2 linked regions of the Cricetulus griseus genome follow. The protein of the gene in region 1 purifies or fractionates together with the protein of each later gene. This does not show direct contact. Links are inferred from orthologs where the notes say so. Each region holds a gene or a part of one and is shown on either strand. Other genes may lie near its edges.

Evidence for each region. Proteins that work in one complex are often made in the same cells at the same time.
Region 2: the proteins of Mapk9 (region 1) and Dusp8 purify together in Homo sapiens (affinity purification with mass spectrometry; 4 studies listed by BioGRID and IntAct, with this or other methods). This does not show direct contact. The link is inferred for Cricetulus griseus from reciprocal best matches to the Homo sapiens genes MAPK9 and DUSP8.

What each region holds. Positions count from the first base shown.
Region 1 is NC_048600.1:64,316,917-64,321,220, forward strand, and holds the start of Mapk9 (mitogen-activated protein kinase 9), read left to right. Parts: upstream 1-1,479; 5' UTR 1,480-1,546; coding exon 1,547-1,668; intron 1,669-2,046; exon of another isoform or gene 2,047-2,243; coding exon of another isoform or gene 2,244-2,287; intron 2,288-4,304. UniProt on the Homo sapiens protein: Serine/threonine-protein kinase involved in various processes such as cell proliferation, differentiation, migration, transformation and programmed cell death.
Region 2 is NC_048596.1:59,099,912-59,103,477, forward strand, and holds part of Dusp8 (dual specificity protein phosphatase 8), read left to right. Parts: intron 1-2,063; coding exon 2,064-2,230; intron 2,231-2,825; coding exon 2,826-2,985; intron 2,986-3,205; coding exon 3,206-3,329; intron 3,330-3,535; coding exon 3,536-3,566. UniProt on the Homo sapiens protein: Has phosphatase activity with synthetic phosphatase substrates and negatively regulates mitogen-activated protein kinase activity, presumably by catalysing their dephosphorylation.

The DNA.
Region 1 (4,304 bases):
TTTTTTAATTTAAATTAAAAACAATCTTATTTTACATATCAATCCCAGTTCCCTCTCCCTCCCATTGTTGCTGGCATCTTAAAGACCAAAATAATAACTCATTAATTTTTCAGTTAACTTCTTCCTACCTTTCACAGGGTGAGCATATCAGTCACATTTCTCCCTTTTTTAGTCACTGTGATGGAATGCATGACACAGCAGCTTAGGGAAGAAAGGATTTATTTTGGCTCATGCCTTACAAGGGTACAGCCCACCCTGATGGAGTACACAGTGGTATGAGCCTGCTGCTGGGGTTCCTCAGTCTCCACAGACCAGGGAGCCGTTGGTGCTGGAAGCAGTGAAACTGTTACCCTCAAGTTGTCCTCCAGCAACCCACTTTGTCCAGCCAAGTCACACCTCCTAAAGGTTCTTCATCTTCCCAAACAGCACCCACTTCTGAGGACCAAGCCCATTGGGGGAATCAGCCTGCTGTCCAAACCAGAAGAAAACTACTTTCTGAAGCCACTGGTTTATAGCCATATTTGTGAATATAAGTAGAGTGGAGATAATTATTTTACTGTGAACTGTAGCTGAGCTTGGGGTACAGGGAATGAAGGCCAACTCTGGCTCCACCTTCGTGAAACAGGTTCATCTGTGGGACACACACTTCATACCAGTGTCTCTAATCCTCAAGACAGCCTGTTATACTGGCACAGGAGTCTCACTTTGTGGTTCATCATATTAGCCTGGATCCATACACCTAGATGCCCAGTTCTTGCTGTCTCCAGGACCTCTAGAATCAATCATTCTGAAATAATGCTCCATCTCTAGCTGAGATTTCTACACATAAGCTGGTTCCCCAAGAAGGAAATGGATGAGACACATCAGTGACATAGTGGGCTTACCATGGCTGGGAATAATGTGTAAATGTTTTCTGCTGAAGTGGATCTTTCTCCACCCCTTCATACCTGTTTTTCCTGTGAACTCAGCTTTATGCATGCTAGCACTCACTACTGAGCTGTATCCCCAGCTCCAACAATTTATTATAATACAGTCCTTTAAAAATGTGGCCTTCCTGCATCTCAAAATTCCTTTTCAGGGCTCAACAATCCTTTTCAGTGACTCAACAGTTAAGAGCACTGACTGTTCTCCCAAAGGACCCAGGTTCCATTCCCATCACCCACATGTGGCTCACAGCTTTCCAGGCATGCACATACATGCGTGCAGACAAAACACCCAAATGCATAAAATAAATGTTAGAAAAATTTTGTTTTAATTTCTTCTTTTGAAGGTCTTACACCACTGAAATGTCTGGGTTTTTTTGTTTGTTTGTTTGTTTGTTTGTTTTTGTTTTTGTTTTTTTTTGGATGTGCCCTTGCTTAAATTGAGATCTTGGCCAAGCTGATTTTCCCATCTCATAGCCATACCTTTACATTCCAGCAGATCGGACCCACTATGAACTGAGATCCTAGTGTACAATTTGGTAAGCTCATCAGTTCATTCTGTTTCTCTCCTTAGGGATCTGACGAAGGTAGCATCTCTTCAGAATACTGTATGACACTACATCATGAGTGACAGTAAAAGTGATGGTCAGTTTTACAGTGTGCAAGTGGCGGACTCAACTTTCACTGTCCTAAAACGTTACCAGCAATTGAAACCGATTGGCTCTGGAGCCCAAGGAATTGTTTGGTAAGTCTGGGCGTTCTAATAGCATAGACTAAGTCTCTAGTGAAAAGTAAAACTAAATCATAGTTTAGAAACACTGATTGAAAAAATACCCCCTGTTGTAGATTAGATTTTGAGCTAAACTAAATCAATCCTTGCTATAGTTATATACAGTCATTTATAGGATACAAACTCAATTTTTCTTTTGCTTTGTTATTGGTTTTATTTATTTATTGGTTTCTTTTTCTTTGTTTTCTTTTTTATTTGCCCTGTCATTATGATATCAGAATAATTGGTATTCAGTGAGGTGTAACTGGAATTTGGCGTTTTATTCATTTCTTCATCATGGCCACCTTCTCCCCCCTCCTCCTTTTATTCCCAATCACTCCTATTCATTTCCAGGCGCCATCATTGCAGTGCCTTGCCATTCATTGGCAGGATGAGGCCAGGCAGTGTCATTATCACACCATGGATTAACCAGGAAGGGATGCTGTGTGAGGGGTTGGGCTGGCCGTCTCTTCTTTGGTGTCTCTCTTCAACTATGTGTCCAGCCCAGGACGTCAGAACCATTGGTCTGACCCTGAACCTTAGGCTCTTGCATGGTAAGACAGTCAGCTGCTGCGACATCACTGGCCAGACAAAGGTAACGTTTCTCACGTGTTTTCTAGACTACCGTTATCAGCACCTCCCAAACTTTTTAGACTGTAGTTTTTGGATGAGACCCCCCTCCCTCCCCAGTGATAAACAAGGTTTTTTTGTCTTTAAAAAAATTGTGATTACATAAAACATTTAATGTTTACAGCTGGTAGGCAAAGAGGATTGAAAATAAAAGTCCTCTTCTGGGCATTCCAGGAGGAGAGTTTTGGTTTTCCTGTGAAGATGCTGAGCATGGCATCATCAGTGGGCTTCAGCTGATACTCCACTGCAGAGACTCTGATCAGGGAAATCTGCTGTTTTCCTTAATGTAGGCAACTGGGGAGACCTGGGTGCTCAGAGAAGAAACTAGGGAAGAAGGTGCTACATGGAGGGAGTGCCAGCTGTGAGCACATAGTGGGGTGTTAACTTCCAAGTGACAGTGAGCACTAGTACAGGCAGAGTGTCCTTTATCTGAACTGCTCGGAAGCAGAAGTGTTTCTGAGCTTAGATTTTAACTTATTATTATTATTATTACTATTACTATTATTATTTTTTTGATTTTTTGATAGAGGGTTTCTCTGTGGCTTTGGAGGCTGTCCTAAAACTCACTCTGTACACCAGGCTGGCCTCCAGCTCACAGAGATCTGCCTGCCTTTGCCTCCTGAGTGCTGGGATTAAAGGTGTGCACCACCAACGCCTGACCTGAGTTTAGATTTTTGTCACACTTTTCAATATTTGTATTTACTGGTGGACATCTGTAATCCTGAAAAATGAAATGCTCCAAAATCCAGTACTCCGAGTACCACAGTAATGCTCAAAAAGCTTCAGTTTTGGAGTGCTGAGATTTTGAATTTACTCTGAAGATGATCAAACCAGATTTAAACCCTTGTGACAAGAAAGGTTTTAAAGTCAGTGGGATGGCTCAGGTTGTAACGTGGGTGGTAATAGAAAGTAATGAGTGTTTATTTGATATGTAAACTCTTTCTTACTTGGAATTAGATAGTAATTTGACAAGAGGATGGAGGAAGGGGGGATATGAATTATCTTGGAGGGAGGTAGACAGAGCATCCATATTAAATATGGGCTTCATTTATCCACTGGGTCCATTATTGACTTGTTTTTGAAGTTTAAAAGTGAAGTAGATAGTATATAGTATATAATTACACAAGATCTGCCCTGACAGTCTCTGTATATGTGATGTAGTTGAGGACTAGCTCATTGACTTGTTTTTGTCCCATGGGTTTAGGGATAGATCTGGGTCTAAACCACCTGTTGATCTCTTGGAACTTTATTGCACTTAGTTAGAACTTGATGACTTGAATCACTGACCAGGACTCTGACCTAATTTTTGTTTAAAATCTTAATAACAATGACCAAATCAATATTCATTAAATACCTCTTTAGAAATTCTCAATGAATTATATCCATCTCCATAGGTCGATTACATCCAAGAACTGTTTAGGGCTAGAGAGGAGGCTCGGTGGTATAGTGCTTGCATAGTATATGGAAGTACTTGGGTTCCTTGCTAGCACCAAAAACCTACATACATATGTAAGCATACATACATATGTACATATATACATACAGACACTCAGATATATGTGTATGTATATACACAGGTATATGTATTCATACATATTTGCATATATATACACACACCCATGTATACATATGTATACATACTTTAATTTTGTAACTGACAGTTTTATAGTATGTTCTAATATAGGAAAGTAAAACCTTCAGAAGTGATTGTACTTGTCCCCCACTTCCTCTTTTGTTTTTATCCTTTGCCCAGATGTATGGTATCAGTTAGGATAGGGGAATGATCTGGTAATGGTACATTCCTATTAAAGCAAAACAAAAAGTTTACTTTTGCTAAAATAAGTTCAATATTGGATAAGCTGCTACCTTGACAATAGGAACTGGATTTTCTACCACTTATCATTAAGAGCTAGCCATTTTTCTATTAATAGTCTTAAACTTTTTGTTAGCATTGTACTTGTACATTAAAAATGTCCATTGGG
Region 2 (3,566 bases), on another chromosome or scaffold:
AGAGAAAGCCTGACCATCAGTAGCCTGGGCTGTGCCAAGTCCACTGACAAATAAATGCATGTTTCTGTATGTGTCTCCTTGTAAACATTAAGCTTGATAAGGGTACTAATTGTGGTCTCCCAAGTACAGGTGGTAGGAGCAGTAGACGGGAATGTTCTATAGGAGAATGAGATTCAGGGATGGCCAGAGCATTTTCTAGACCTCCCAGAGACTTGCAAATAGCTGAGGTACACTCACTCAACCTCCATTTCCATCCACCCACCTAGCCTGGAATAGCCCCCCAAATTCCTATAGCCTCAGGCCTTGGAAGGATGGAGTCCATAGGAGTGATCTGGAAGGGTGCTCAAGGGCCTCAGCTTAGCCTGGGAGCTTTCTAAGCTGCTGAGAAGTCTGGGGTGGCTATACTTTTGGAAGCATTTGAACCTCCCTCCTGTGGGTAGGGTGGGCATGGGTCTCTGGTACAATGCATGACCTCCCTTGGGCAGGCTGTGGAGGAAAGACTGAGACCCAAGCTTCTGGCAGAGTAACAAGAAGACAAAAGGGGCTGTAATCTATGGAAGAGGCTATGCAGAAGCACCATCCCTCTAGGGTTGAGGCCTGAGAGGTTACAGACCCCACAATGCCCAACTCAGCCTCCCCTTGGAGTGCCTCAATGTAAGCCGCAGCATTACTGGTACCACCACAACTACCTGTTCCTCCCTGTCTAGCCTTCCTGAGGAAGGGACTGCTTCTCCTCTAAGGCCACCAAAGATAAGATTTCACTGAGGTAGTAGGTAGCAGCCACAACAGATATACTGGTTGAGGGGTTGTGCATACTGTCTGTGAGCTGGGGCAGTGTGAAGGCAAAGGTGGAAGCTTTCCAGGTCCCTGGCACCTGCTTTTCAGGCTGGGAAAAAGCTCTCTGTGCTGTGCTGTGTGTGTGTGTGTGTGTGTGTGTGTGTGTGTGTGTGTGTGTGTACACCTGTGCCCAGAACCCTATCCTCACTTCCTCCCATGGGGCACATTGGGTCTTAGGCCAGGTGTTCTGTGCTCTGGATGGTATGATTGAGACTAGAAACCGAGCCCACTTGCTTGACAGAGCTTGTCATTGTGGAGCATAGGAAGTCCATTCTGCTGAGCTCACCTCACCATGCTGAGAGCTGGTTTCTGGATGAACCCCAGCCAGGCTAGATGTGGCTAGCTCTATTTTCACACCTTTATAATTGTTTTTTTTTTCTTTCTTGAGTCTGTCAACAATGCTGTGTGGCAGGCAAATAAGGAAACTGAGGCCAGAGGCGTGCCTTGCCTGTGGTCACTGAGTCAGACGTACCAGAGGAGCCAGCTTGGGTATCTCAAACTGGTGAAGGGTTTCTTCCCCAGCCAAAAGTCTGGATCTTAGATGTATCTAGACAGTGGCCACAGGGAGCAGGCTGTTTGTACCCTGTGTGCAGGCTTCCCTGCTTCTCTGTCATCTCCTGTTGGGTAGACTGGAGCCATGACTGAACCACAAATGCCCTGTGGGCTGTGGCAATTCCAGTGGGTGATGTCATGCCCAAAGAGGCCCCACCTCAGAAGCCCTTTCCTCCTAGGCCTGGCACTAGAGCACAGGCCTGTGGCTTCCAGCCAACTGGAGTCAGGGAGGGATTGCATCAGCATGGAGAGAGGCTAAGAGCCAGCCTGGCCGAAGGCCAGTCATGTACTGGGGCTGCGAAAGGACTTACCTTGCCATACCTGGGGAATAAGAGACCCTTGATGAGGTCTCAGCCATTCCCTGCCTGGTTTCCATGTGCTGTGATGACAGGCCACCTTGACCCCATATTTATGGGCATCAAAGCAGTGACCCTGAGCCAGTCCCTAATTAGCCTGAGGAGGAATGTGGGCGTAGGTGCCTGCTCTAAATGGGCAGTAGCACACCCCCCACCCCCAGTGCTGCAGAGAAAAGCAAGTAGCCTGCCAGCAAGAGTCCAGGTGCTGGGCCAGAAGCAGGCTGGGCTTGGGGTCTACAGGGTGTGGCTAAGCCCAGAGGAACTCTCCTGCTCTGGCTGGGCAGCCTCCTTAAGAGCTTTCTGTGTCTCCTCCCACAGGGGGCTTTGCCACCTTCTCCTCCTGCTTCCCAGGCCTCTGTGAGGGAAAACCTGCTACCCTACCATCCATGAGCCTCTCTCAGCCCTGCCTGCCTGTGCCCAGTGTGGGCCTGACCCGTATCCTGCCTCACCTCTACCTGGGCTCTCAGAAAGATGTCTTAAACAAGGTGAGTGCACAGGGTGTCACCGCTGATGGTGTAAAGAGGGGGAACCTGGAATCAGGTCCTAAGGTAGTCTGAAGTGAAGAGCAGGTGATAGATGAGTATGAGGTGGGAGCACAGGAGGAACCAGAGCCCCCAACTCACCGAACCACAGTATGGCCCAGGGAGGAACCCAGCGAGGCTAGGTGGAAAAGCAGGCTCCTGAACTCTTCTGTGGTGGGGCACTGGAAGCCTGCATGCCAAACTGTTTCTGTCACTGGGCCACTGGCCAGCTCTGAAAGAATCCCGTGTTTTAAAAATGGTGAGGAGGGAAAAGGATGAAGGCACCGCCCAGGCAACCATAAAATTCCTGGGAGCCCAGTACAGGCTGTAGGTGTGGCTTGCAGAAGCCATCCTTCCTGTGCCCATCCAGTGGTCTCAAAGGTTGAGATGGAGCCAGGCTTTTCCATATAGCAAGACCCTGAACAAAATCTGAGACTCAGAAGACTTTAGAGGCCTGTTCTGCAGAGGGGATGAGAGAGACAGACTTTCAGCTCTTCCTCTAGGGGGTGTTTTGCTTTTCTCTGCTACCCCATTCTGACCCATCTTCCTATCCCTCTAGGATCTGATGACCCAAAATGGAATAAGCTATGTTCTCAATGCCAGCAACTCCTGCCCTAAACCGGACTTCATCTGTGAAAGCCGTTTCATGCGTATCCCCATCAATGACAACTACTGTGAAAAGCTGCTGCCCTGGCTGGACAAGTCCATTGAGTTTATTGGTGAGGGAAAGGGAGGATGTGTCTGTCTCTATGGTGTGGGGGAGGCTGACTAGAGGAAGACTGGATAGAGGCAGAGGGAGTACCATGTTTGGGGCCATCCAGCTCTGGGAAGTCACCCACACTGTCTGTCAGAGGGAGGGAGGGTAGGAGCCTACCTTGGGTAGAAGGAATAGTGCAATCTCAGCCCTCACCTAGTCCCCCACCATCCACCTGTCCCCAGATAAAGCCAAGCTGTCCAGCTGCCAAGTCATTGTTCACTGTCTGGCTGGCATCTCTCGCTCTGCCACCATCGCCATCGCCTACATCATGAAAACCATGGGCATGTCCTCTGACGACGCATACAGGTACTCTTCCCCTCCCGGGCTCTGGGGACCTGGAACTCCTCAACCAATGGCTAACAGCATTGCCCTCCCTTCCTTTCTCCACCCACTTAAACGGTACAGCCTATTGCCCTGGCAGGGAGGGAAAACTGGAGCCCAACACAAAGCTTGGGTACAGGGGGAAATCGGTCACAAGCCTGTTCTGACAGGAGTTTCTCTTGCTTGCCCAGGTTTGTGAAGGATCGGCGCCCCTCCATCTCG